Linked DNA regions of Arabidopsis thaliana. The protein of the gene in region 2 interacts with the protein of the main gene of each other region in a biochemical or structural test. Each region holds a gene or a part of one and is shown on either strand. Other genes may lie near its edges.

What was found. The genes of interacting proteins can lie anywhere in the genome.
Region 1: of the proteins of CYCB1;1 (region 2) and CDC27a, one has a biochemical effect on the other in vitro, tested with the Arabidopsis thaliana proteins (one study listed by BioGRID).

The regions. Positions count from the first base shown.
Region 1 is NC_003074.8:5,527,645-5,535,247, forward strand, and holds CDC27a (Tetratricopeptide repeat (TPR)-like superfamily protein), read left to right. Parts: upstream 1-1,668; 5' UTR 1,669-1,889; coding exon 1,890-1,997; intron 1,998-2,481; coding exon 2,482-2,554; intron 2,555-2,655; coding exon 2,656-2,765; intron 2,766-2,904; coding exon 2,905-2,951; intron 2,952-3,125; coding exon 3,126-3,223; intron 3,224-3,342; coding exon 3,343-3,632; intron 3,633-3,795; coding exon 3,796-3,924; intron 3,925-4,149; coding exon 4,150-4,327; intron 4,328-4,502; coding exon 4,503-4,714; intron 4,715-4,830; coding exon 4,831-4,896; intron 4,897-5,031; coding exon 5,032-5,151; intron 5,152-5,347; coding exon 5,348-5,424; intron 5,425-5,655; coding exon 5,656-5,775; coding exon of another isoform or gene 5,776-5,809; exon of another isoform or gene 5,810-5,861; coding exon 5,862-6,081; intron 6,082-6,292; coding exon 6,293-6,574; intron 6,575-6,764; coding exon 6,765-6,821; 3' UTR 6,822-7,090; downstream 7,091-7,603. Other genes in the region: AT3G16310 (mitotic phosphoprotein N' end (MPPN) family protein), read right to left, coding at 1-462. UniProt on the Arabidopsis thaliana protein: Component of the anaphase promoting complex/cyclosome (APC/C), a cell cycle-regulated E3 ubiquitin-protein ligase complex that controls progression through mitosis and the G1 phase of the cell cycle.
Region 2 is NC_003075.7:17,621,365-17,626,178, forward strand, and holds CYCB1;1 (CYCLIN B1;1), read right to left. Parts: upstream 2,945-4,814; 5' UTR 2,845-2,944; coding exon 2,805-2,844; intron 2,537-2,804; coding exon 2,358-2,536; intron 2,261-2,357; coding exon 2,075-2,260; intron 1,985-2,074; coding exon 1,859-1,984; intron 1,771-1,858; coding exon 1,522-1,770; intron 1,439-1,521; coding exon 1,280-1,438; intron 1,201-1,279; coding exon 1,019-1,200; intron 931-1,018; coding exon 765-930; 3' UTR 522-764; downstream 1-521. Other genes in the region: AT4G37480 (Chaperone DnaJ-domain superfamily protein), read left to right, coding at 67-232; AT4G37483 (uncharacterized protein), read right to left, coding at 229-456; AT4G37500 (Aldehyde oxidase/xanthine dehydrogenase, molybdopterin binding protein), read left to right, coding at 4,024-4,263, 4,417-4,551.

The DNA of each region.
Region 1 (7,603 bases), on a different chromosome or scaffold from region 2:
AACCACCCCTTCTACAGGAGATCCCTTCCCTTTATCATCCTGCTCGGTACTACTACCTGCCTTTGACTGCGACCACCAACTCGGACTCCCTGAAACTTGCTGACTCTGTTGTGCATTCAGTAGAGAAAAAGAAGGGCTTGCTTCCAACTTTCCTTTACCAGGAGTTACAATATTCTTTCCAGAACTCTGGAATGGTGTTCTTCTGTCAGACTTAGCATCTGGAGACGCAGAGTAGTCTGCAATACCAGACTCAGGAGAGAAATCGGACCGGTCATCCAAAGTATACATTGGAGGTGGTGGAAGATCAGATCCTCCGAAATTCTCACGCCATAGTGCAGATACCGCAGCTGCCTGTCCCGGACTCGAGAATTTCCCTCTACGTGCTGAAACAGGAGAAGCTAAATCTTGAAATAGCAGAGATTGCCTCCCTGATTTAGGAGTCCTGTGTGCTGCAGCACTCATTTTCTACTCAATAGAGTTTTATTTATCTCCCTGCAAAGACAAAAAATCATATAGCTTTGAGCAAAATTACATAAGAAAGCTAAAAAAACAAAAACAAATCAATTTTGCGACTTTAATTCACTTGGGCAAGATCAATATTGAATCTTGCGATTGAAATCACTAATCTAAGCTTAGCTACGGGTTTCTAGAGGATTAATCGAAAGAAAATTGAGGAAAAAGTTCAACAAAATCGCAAGTTACTGGGTTTTAAACGAGAAGGTAGTAAGATTGACGCCAATCATCGAAGACAGTACACAAATAGGAGTAATCACACTATCTAATGGATCGATGGAGAGGGAGAGAGAGAGAGCAAACCTTGAGGATGAAAATGGAGGTGTTTGAATTTCAGCTTTAGGAATCCCGGAGAAGCTCAGGTAGAGAGCTCAAGGGCGCGGAGGGAAGGTAAGTGAAACCCTAGAAACCAAGATTCTGAAAACGCAAAATTCAAGCGCCTTACGAAAAATGACGAAAGTAGCCTTGCATTTGTACAATGGGTTTGAATTGGGCCTATTTGGAAAGTTGTTGGCCCAGAAGGTTTCTTCAACATATAAAGGAATAACCATCAAAATTCTCAATCCAACATGGTGTAAAATTAAATGGTTGTAACTTGTAAGCTAATTTGTGTTATTATTTTTTTGGTCAACAATACATAAATATCTAGCATATACTTACCAATTAGTATCCTTAAAATGTGAGAATTCTATTAGCATTAATGCAATATCTCTCATCTTATCCTTAACTTAATTTAAAGAGATTTTGAGTATGTTTTCACAAATACTTTTCTAAAATAAGAAGAAATACTCAAGTTAGAATACGTCATCGTTTTAATACAAAAGATCGTTTTGAAAGGTTTAAGAGAAAATTGCCGCGTTTTTTTATCTAACGGTTATACAAAAAGTCGTTTAGGGTGTGAAAAAATTATCGCGTTTGTTATTTAACGGTCACATAAAAGATCGTTATGGGAATATTGAAAAAATTGTCGCGTTTGTTACCCAACGATTTTACAACAAGCAATTGCGTTTAAGATACATTATAGATGAATTTCCATAGTTATAAATTCAATGTTTAAGCTATATAATTTCAGTTGCATATCTAAATTTGGGGCACTCTAATCTTACTTCATTTGTGTTCTTTGTCTGAAACTTGATTTCTATTCCAGAACGCGATTTTTTCTTAAAACGCCAAACGCGGTCCTTGTCTTGTTGTCTCGTCCACCAAAAAAATCTGGGGCACTAGTGTCACAAAAATCACACGCTCGTCGCGTGAGAAAGTTAGGCTTTTGAAATACTTTAGCGGCGCGCGATTACTTAGGCGACATTACACACACAGCCTCCGAGGAACAACAACAACATCGATTGTCTCGTCAATTTGGTCATCATCATCATCAGATGATGGAGAATCTACTGGCGAATTGTGTCCAGAAAAACCTTAACCATTTTATGTTCACCAATGCTATCTTCCTTTGCGAACTTCTTCTCGCCCAATTTCCATCTGAGGTATCTCGATTTCGATTCTTCTATATTCAACTCCATTTCGATTTTCAAATCTTAGCTTCGTCTCTTTCGATCACATCATTTTTAAGATGTGGAGTGACTTTTTTCGTTTTCTCAGTTTTTGTTGCTCTTGTGGTCTGATCCGATCTTCTAGTCGTAGCTGTCTTTTGTTGTGTGACTTTTTGAGTTGTTTGCGAATAGACAATTCTCGATTTATGCGGAGTTCAATTCTGGGCTTTGTTTTTAAGGATCAAACTCTATTTCGATTTTGTCGGAATCTAGAGGATGCAATTCAATTTGACTGAAATGTTTATGATTTTGAGTTGATTTTGTGATTTTATTCCAAACCTGGAATTTCTAGGTTGAGATTTCTGTTTGATGTATGCCAATGTCAATTCAGATTGATACCGTTACTCGAATTTCACATCCCTTGATATATTTTTTTGGTTATGTGAATCTGGTGGTGATCAACTACTTCATTATGCAGGTGAACCTGCAATTGTTAGCCAGGTGTTACTTGAGTAACAGTCAAGCTTATAGTGCATATTATATCCTTAAAGGTACTCTACATTCTTCGGTACTGGTGCTATATGTGAACATTTCATATATTGTTTTATTTGTGTTTGGAAAAACTAAACTTGTTTTACATTGTGAAATGAAGGTTCAAAAACGCCTCAGTCTCGGTATTTATTTGCATTCTCATGCTTTAAGTTGGATCTTCTTGGAGAGGCTGAAGCTGCATTGTTGCCCTGTGAAGATTATGCTGAAGAAGTATATGGCATTGCTTTTTTACTTCTTTTATAAAAATTCTCCATATCCATGGGCATTGTACACATCTTTTGCAAGCTAGTCTTTTGGGAGTGAAAATTGGCAAGTGCTGACTAGTGACTACTGTATTTTTGACATGCAGGTTCCTGGTGGTGCAGCTGGGCATTATCTTCTTGGTCTTATATATAGGTGACTGCTAATTTACTTTTCAAGTTCTGTATGAGATATTGGTGTCTCTCGCATGCTTTAATGTTTAGTACTTCTCTGTGTTGGTATACTGATGCTGTAACAAGCTTAGTAGTTTGCTGCATATGTTCCATTATCTAAGTTTGATGTGTGTTACTCTCTGTTACATGATTGCAGATATTCTGGGAGGAAGAACTGTTCAATACAACAGTTTAGGATGGCATTGTCATTTGATCCATTGTGTTGGGAAGCATATGGAGAACTTTGTAGTTTAGGTAAGTGAAACCTCTGTATGAATTATGTATTTATCAGTTTATGTTTCCGTTATTCCAGCTGGATATCTAGAGCAACAAATTCAATTCTCTGCAATGGCGTTCTGTGATTACCTTTTCAGGTGCCGCTGAAGAAGCCTCAACAGTTTTCGGGAATGTTGCTTCCCAGCGTCTTCAGAAAACTTGTGTAGAACAAAGAATAAGCTTCTCAGAAGGAGCAACCATAGACCAGATTACAGATTCTGATAAGGCCTTAAAAGATACAGGTTTATCGCAAACAGAACACATTCCAGGAGAGAACCAACAAGATCTGAAAATTATGCAGCAGCCTGGAGATATTCCACCAAATACTGACAGGCAACTTAGTACAAACGGATGGGACTTGAACACACCTTCTCCAGTGCTTTTACAGGTGATATAATTAAGTCGAGCTAGTATGAGAACATATTAGTTACTAGCTTGAAATCCTCAGTTATTCAATGTCTACTATCTTCTTCAAGAGCTATATTTCTTTCATAAGGTAATGAGAAGTTTGTAAGCTGTTTTCCCTATCTTTAAGTATCTTTATCGTTCAGGTAATGGATGCTCTACCGCCTCTGCTTCTTAAGAATATGCGTCGTCCAGCAGTGGAAGGATCTTTGATGTCTGTACATGGAGTGCGTGTGCGTCGAAGAAACTTTTTTAGTGAAGAATTGTCAGCAGAGGTTATATATCTACAATGGGCTTTGAGTGATTTCTTCCTTGTTTTCTTTGCATAAGAGTTTTCTTATTAATGCATAGGCGAAGAATGATCATCTATCTAGCACTGCAGATATTTTAAGTTTTTAACATAGAGCTTCCCCCACCTTGTTTCTATCTTCTAGCTCTATGGCTGGACCATCTAAAGCTACTTGATTTATTGGTCTTCTTTTACTTTCCTTATCTTGAAGGCTCAAGAAGAATCTGGGCGCCGCCGTAGTGCTAGAATAGCAGCAAGGAAAAAGAATCCTATGTCGCAGTCATTTGGAAAAGATTCCCATTGGTTACATCTTTCACCTTCCGAGTCAAACTATGCACCTTCTCTTTCCTCGATGATTGGAAAATGCAGAATCCAAAGCAGCAAAGAAGGTGATGTTTTACTATCATATTTTTCTTTTCTGTCTCCCAAACCGGACTATAGAGCCTCAATTGGTTGTAATTTTTGAAATGGAAAAAGTTAGATCTCTAGTTAAAATTCATGATGTAATAATATAGGTGGCTTAAGTAATTTACATGACAATAAGACTTGAACATATATGTGCAGTGATTCCTGATACCGTTACTCTAAATGATCCAGCAACGACGTCAGGCCAGTCTGTAAGTGACATTGGAAGCTCTGTTGATGATGAGGAAAAGTCAAATCCTAGTGAATCTTCCCCGGATCGTTTCAGCCTTATTTCTGGAATTTCAGAAGTGCTAAGCCTTCTGAAAATTCTTGGAGATGGCCACAGGCATTTACATATGTACAAGTGTCAGGTACTTTACTAAGACAATGTGTGTATTGGGTTCATATTCTTCAACTTGAATTCTCTGCTTAAAAGTTAAAGTATCGATGTCGAAGCCTAAAATGACAAAAATGGATACTACTGCAGGAAGCTTTGTTGGCATATCAAAAGCTATCTCAGAAACAATACAATACACACTGGGTTCTCATGCAGGTGATAATATGAATGGCTTTTTCTTTGCTCCTTTTTCATTGGAATGATCTTATTTGGTCATTGACGTCATTTTCTAATTCCATTTTGTTGGTTTTTGACACTGAAACTAAAAACCATGGATACATTTTGAAATAGGTTGGAAAAGCATATTTTGAGCTACAAGACTACTTCAACGCTGACTCTTCCTTTACTCTTGCTCATCAAAAGTATCCTTATGCTTTGGAAGGAATGGATACATACTCCACTGTTCTTTATGTGAGCTGTTGTCACTATTTGCAAATTTTCCTATTATTCATTATGAACAGTCCCGAACTAATCTTGAACATGATGTTGACTCTGAACATTATCCTGTTGTGATATCAGCATAGAGAACTTGATTTTTGATTGACCTGCAAGGATTTCTATGTAATTGTTTTTTACTTTTAGTAATTTCGTATTTTTGTTTTTGAAGCACCTGAAAGAAGAGATGAGGTTGGGCTATCTGGCTCAGGAACTGATTTCAGTTGATCGCCTGTCTCCAGAATCCTGGTATCATTCTTAGAATCTTCATTACCAATATGCTCTTCCGCTTTCGTTTCGCAAAACTTACATGATCAACCCACATATGTCTACGTCGAGACTCTAACACCACAAGCTTTAACCACATACCGTCAATGGAAACCAGCTTTTTGCACTAGCATATCAAAATCTGAAACTGCAGACTTTTCTCTTTGCTTGTATTTTTTTCTGTAATGACTGTGGTCGCAATATGAATTGCAGGTGTGCAGTTGGGAACTGTTACAGTTTGCGTAAGGATCATGATACTGCTCTCAAAATGTTTCAGAGAGCTATCCAACTGAATGAAAGATTCACATATGCACATACCCTTTGTGGCCACGAGTACAATTCTTTTCGATGCATCTTTTGCGCATAATCGGCATATGCATGTACGTTAATAACATACCGGTCTCACCTTGGCTGCACAGGTTTGCCGCATTGGAAGAATTCGAGGATGCAGAGAGATGCTACCGGAAGGCTCTGGGCATAGATACGAGACACTATAATGCATGGTACGGTCTTGGAATGACCTATCTTCGTCAGGAGAAATTCGAGTTTGCGCAGCATCAATTTCAACTGGCTCTCCAAATAAATCCAAGATCTTCAGTCATCATGTGTTACTATGGAATTGCTTTGCATGAGTCAAAGGTATCTGAAATACGCTCTTCACATCAACAATCTGTTAAGTTTAGAATATCGATACCTTTATTCCTTAACCAAACCAGTACACACTAACACATCCCTAATATCATATATTACTCTTTATGACTTTGTGATGTTCTTATTTGGCTGTGAAATTTAGCTTTCCAGAAAGTTATAGTCCAGAGATAATTTTTAAGGTTGAGATAATATTTTGCAGAGAAACGATGAGGCGTTGATGATGATGGAGAAGGCTGTACTCACTGATGCAAAGAATCCGCTCCCCAAGTACTACAAGGCTCACATATTAACCAGCCTAGGTGATTATCACAAAGCACAGAAAGTTTTAGAAGAGCTCAAAGAATGTGCTCCTCAAGAAAGCAGTGTCCATGCATCGCTTGGCAAAATATACAATCAGCTAAAGCAATACGACAAAGCCGTGTTACATTTCGGCATTGCTTTGGATTTAAGCCCTTCTCCATCTGATGCTGTCAAGATAAAGGTTAATTACTCCTTTCCTGTTTTTGCTTCACAAGCATCAATCATGGTCACATTTTGCATTTAGGAGTTGAAATTAGTTAATATGAGATCGAATAATGGATAATTAATCAAAACGTTATATTTCTCATAATCTCATGATAAATCCTTAAAAACTTACTTAATAGAATTTTATTCACTGTCTGTGCCTACAGGCTTACATGGAGAGGTTGATACTACCAGACGAGCTGGTGACGGAGGAAAATTTGTAGATTTATTGTGCAGGTAATACACCAGATTATGTTTCTCATATAACCCAAAGTCATCTGTAATTTTTCTCATCTTTAGATCAGTCTTGTGGACTAACCCTAAAACAAAACTGATTATATAAACTTAGAGGGTAATATTACAGAAAATTGTATAGAGTTGGGTTGAATTTTCATTTCTTTTCCAAGTTGGAACTTTTGTTCCTTTCTCTTTGCATAAAATTTGTGGCACTCATTGCACCAATGGTAACTATCTGGTGAAAGATTTAAACTTTTAAGGCAAACTAAAAAGCAAAGTTTAAAGAAAAAAGGTTTAGCCACAGTGGCAATAATATAGTGTTTTGATTCATTCCTTTTCGAAAAAAGAAAAACTTTTGAAATAAAAAGATATAGTTGTAAAGCGTATATACCAATACCATCATACTAGAAGGCCAAGTCATCTTACAAAACCTCCACTAGTTAAATTTTTGTATGTATGTCATCTAGAAAAGCAAGACCTAATATCCATATATAGATGGCTATAATACATAGTGCAATCTAAAGTACAACTAAAGTTGATAATACAATTCAAATTTTCTTTTTCTTTTCCATTTTTTGGGTTATTGAAATCCTAAAGCTATTTCACAACATATTAATATGTTTGTGTAATGTTCCACGTTTAAGTACTTCTTTTCGTAGAAAAGTTTTTCTCTTTCTCTCCTCTTTATAAATCCCACACACATTGATCCTTAGTCCATAAGCAAATATCAAAGCCAAGAAAAACAAAACAAAACAAGAGTCTCATTATC
Region 2 (4,814 bases):
ACATCTCTGTATTAGTTGTTGTTTGTGAAGTAATCTAACTTATATATGACTTTTTGTATTCTCCAGGAGACTGCACCCAGGTATCTACTTGCTTACACTAGCATATCGTACTCTTGATCTTGAAGATGAAAAGAGAAGGAAACGGTCAATATTGGAGATCCTCGAGGCACGGTTATCTAAAACATTGGATTGGTGTAAAGAATTGGTTAGAAGAAAGGGCCTTGGAACTTAATATGGTAAACCTTCTCCCTTTCCGGATGAAGATCCAAAGATGATTGGATTTACAATTTCCGCATGGATGCTAGCACTTCCATTTAGACTTATGAGGTTGTGGCTAACAAAATGCTCACCAAAGATGGGAGTGCTTAGTTGTTTAAGGGGATCTTGCAGACCAGAAGGTGGTTTTAAAACCCAGAATGGACGGGACCAGAAGGAACACAAGAAATGGTGAAACATATACTGTGCTGGGGTGTTTGATCAAAAAAAAGAAGAGAAATTCTGTGTTGGGGAATGAATCATGTGTACTAAAGAAGTTAAACCACAGAATATTATATCTAAGGAAATTAAACTTCTCGGAAGAAACTGACTTCTTACAAGATATGCAGTGTTTGGGAATGAATCATGCTAAAGGACTAGGTTTCAAAGCGACTCATTAGACTTGTTCAAAATACCATTATCTAATGAAACTAGACTTGATTTTCAGAAGGAAAATGAAACTAGGCTTGGTTCTTCAGCTTCTTCGTCTTCTTAAAGGGTCCTAACTCCTAAGCAGATTCAGTTCCGGTCAACAAAGCTTTGGCCGGAGGGATCAAAGCCACAGCGAAGCGTTCGTCCTTGGAGTATTTCTTTCGTAAAGCTCCCTTAGTACTGCTCTCACTCCCTTCTTCTTGTTGCTTCCATTGCTGATACGCCAACAGCTTTGCACAGTCCCTTTTTCATCATTACAACAAGAATGAATATCCAACCACAAATGCAAAACGCATATGATGCAAATGAAAAAAGAAAGGAACTTTCTTACATGAGCTGAGTCTCAGAATAGCCAGTGTGATGCTTGAGAGTGCTGGTCCATATGGGAACTTGGCGGAGAGAAGATCTTGCTGCGTAGATTGCAGAAGCAGCTACCATTGATGGACTGAACATTATCATCGTATCGTAATGCATTACGCCTAACTCAGCCAAATAGTGCACCATATTCTCCATCTGCAAACCAAAACACAACTGAATGTTCAATATGATGAAATGTATAACCATGGAAGAAACTAAAAAAACGCTCTCTTACCTTTTCGTCTGCAATGGAAGCTTTGATGAAACGAGCTAGGAAGACATAATGAGTCGGAACTGTCAAGTACCACTCAAGTGTAGACAGTATTGTCTTCTCCATCACCAGAATCTGTTTGTGACTGTATGCATGGTCTGCAATATCAACTAGATCCTCCACCTGCAAAAGAATTATCTTTTCATTTAGCCGAAGACAAAAAAGAATCAAAACCAGAAGATTCAAAAGTTCTCTGTTTTTATCACCTGTGGTGGCCAAATTTCTTCATACTTGGCCGACATGAGAAGAGCACTGAGACCAACAAGCTGCAGTTCTTTTCGAGGCACTGGCTTAACCGACAAGAACCGATCCAGAATGTTAACAGTGAGGTAAAATGTTTCCGGGTTTAGCTCGAATCGGACATGCACATCAATCAACCACTCCACCAGGATCAGTCTCATCTTTTCATTAATATCAGGCTGAGATGCCATGTAATCTCGTGGCCTCCATTCACTCTGCCAATCCAAATGATAATTTAAGTAAACAAGTTAATACTACAACAAAGCTGCAAGGAAAGATTCATGAATAGTATAGTATACAAACCTCAACAGACTTGTAAAAACTGTAAATATCTTCCACATATTCCACAGCTGCGAGGTCATTCTCAACATCAGCAGAATCGATATCAACAATCTTTTCTTTCTGTTTCTTCTCTAAACCACAAGCAGCCTGAAAAGCAAAAGAAGTTTATTCAGAACAGACCAAAACATTTTCTTACTTCACACTAAAGAATCATCATTTCACAAGGTAAAAAATTACCTTGCTTCTAGCAGTAAGAACAGATGTGTAAGTGGTCGCTTTCTTCTTAGTAGCCTTCTTCTCTCGAGCAGCAACTAAACCAAGTTCTTCATCACTGTCTGAACTTATCTCAATCACGTCTACTACCTTTGGTTTCCCAGCCACTTTCTTCGGCTTTGGTACTGCGTTTCTCTTGACTACAGGTTTCTGCAGATCAAAGACATATACACATATGACATGAGTTTAACAAATCTAACGAAGAAACCTAATTTGTTCACCAAAATACAGGGGAAAAGGAACAAACTTTGAGATTATCCTCCACAAGAAGCGTGGGATTTTGAGATCGTGTACGAGGACGATGATTGATCTTTTCCGGTTCGTTGTTCTTTGGGTAATTTCCTCGAACAACATTACCTATATCACCAAGAACTTGACGGTTTCTTCCTTTCGCTACGTTTTTGCCATCTACCACAACAACATCATCTTCAACACAACAAAACAAAACCAAAGTTAACAACTTTAGATTCAATTTGCAACAATCATCAGCCATATCAAATCAAGAAAATTCCAGTCAAAGCCACGGACTTTATACTTGATTCGCAACATATTCGTTTCGTTGTTCATAGATATAACAAGAACAGAAAGAAACGAACAAAACCCAGATACCAAAATCGAAGATCACAAACTAAACCAAATCAAATTTTGTCCGTAAAAACCTTAAAAAAAGAAAAAGCAAAGATCTTTCTCTTACCCGTGGATTGTTGAGGAACAATCGAACGAGAAGTCATCATCTTAGTGTTCTCTTCTCTTTCTCTCAGACTAAAATCTCAGGTTTGTAGTAGAAAAAGTCTAAGTAGTGGGGGCGTCTTCTATATAGGAGGCTTCTTGAGGACGATGAGCCGTTTTATAAGAAATAAAAACAAAATTAAAGAAAATAAATGAACCCCAACGGTCTGATTGTTTTTGAAAAATTAGAGGTCGTGGGCTTGTTACGGGCCTTACGGCTGTAGAGACACGAAATCGGGCTTTTTCACTATTGGGATTTTGAAGTCACAACGGCCCACTTATTCTTTTTATTGACTGTGAAGGATATAGGAAAAAAAAAAAAAAAAAAGATTTGTGTGAATTAGATTGCTAGTTAAATCCGGTTAGTTAGATGTTGATCTCTGTTTGGTTTACATGGTTTTGAAATGAAAATTGATTTTGGTTCGGTTTGCATTAGAATTAGTACGGTTTAGAGAAAAAAAAACAAAAAAAAAAGTCACTCGAGACTGTTTTGGAAACAAAGCGAGTAGATGTAAAATAAGCATGATTTTGTGGGTTTACCCCTACAGAAATCGACGACACGCGCTCAACGCGAGGTTGGTGCGAGTGGGCGTGGTCTGTAGCGCGTGGCACGAGGTTGGTGCGAGTGGGCGTTTTCTGGTGCGCTCTGATTGGCTAAAAAAATGAAAATAGTAGTGATGCTCCTCCTCTATTATTTTGTTTTTCGTCATTCCTCGGTTATGAAAGTTGTGTGGTTTTAAGATGGAATTGAGTTTATTCTGAGGTTTTTAGTTATTTTGAAATCATTGATTAATGTCACCAAAAAAAATAGAAACTAGATTTTGAGATACTAAAATTTTCATTTTCATTTTGTTCTGCAACCATTGAAAACTAGATTCAGCTGAGCCCCTGAAGAAATCAAAGTGAGTTGAATATTTTTCTATAAATGTGAAAATTGGTAAAAGTTTGTCCTCATTTTGTTAGTTTAATGTTTTCTTGACTTTAGGAGATGAACTTTCAACTGCAAAGATCCCATCACACATTAATCTCACTCTCTTCCGCACATTGCATGGTGTGGTGTAGCTATGGTTCCCACACAATTGTCATATTCATTTACCACAAAGTTCATGAATCATGTTAGAAGTGAATCCTTTTTCTTTCAAATTTAGTCATCTCTCGAGGAACTTTAAAGGTAAAAGAATAAGATGAAGCTTCCTTGGAAATCTCAGCATTGCACTACCTTTGCTTGCAAATCTAGAATCTGGATTTTAAGATACTTACTCCAACACATATTATTATTACAGGCCGGTGCTCTTGTTCATGTTTGCACCAATGGGACTGTTTTGGTGACACATGGAGGTGTTGAAATGGGTCAAGGATTTGCATACAAAGGTTGTGTCATTCCCCTTAGTTCAGTTTTTGTGTCAGAAACAAGCACATACAAGGTACATCTAACTCGGTTACATGCACTCAGTGGACTTTTTGGCCAAGACAAAACTGATATTGTTCTCTCTTATCATTTTTGTGGTCTCTTAATAGGTTCCAAATGCCTCACACACTGTTATTGCTCCCTTGTCGTTTTGATTGCCTCTTAATAGGTTCCTAACGCGTCACCTACTGCTGCTTCTGCGAGCTCTGATATGTATGGTGCTGCAGTTTTAGACGCTGTTGAGCAGATTATAGCTAAATTGGAGCCTGTTGCATCTAAACACAATTTCAACTCCATTCGCTGAGGGTAGCTTTAGAAGAGCTCAAGTGGGGAGATGCAGCTCATACATGGATTTAACCAGGAGCTTTACTCACTTGCAGACCTGGAAACTACAAAATACCTTAAGAAGAAACTTTACTCACAACATTCAGTTTCTCTTCTCAAGGTATGCAACCATAAGAAGAAGCTCTTTGAATTGGTGGCAACAAATTTGAAACTGATGAACCTAAGATTATACTGATGAAGCTCATTTTGCTAGTTTAAAGTTTTCAACTTTTCACCAAAGGT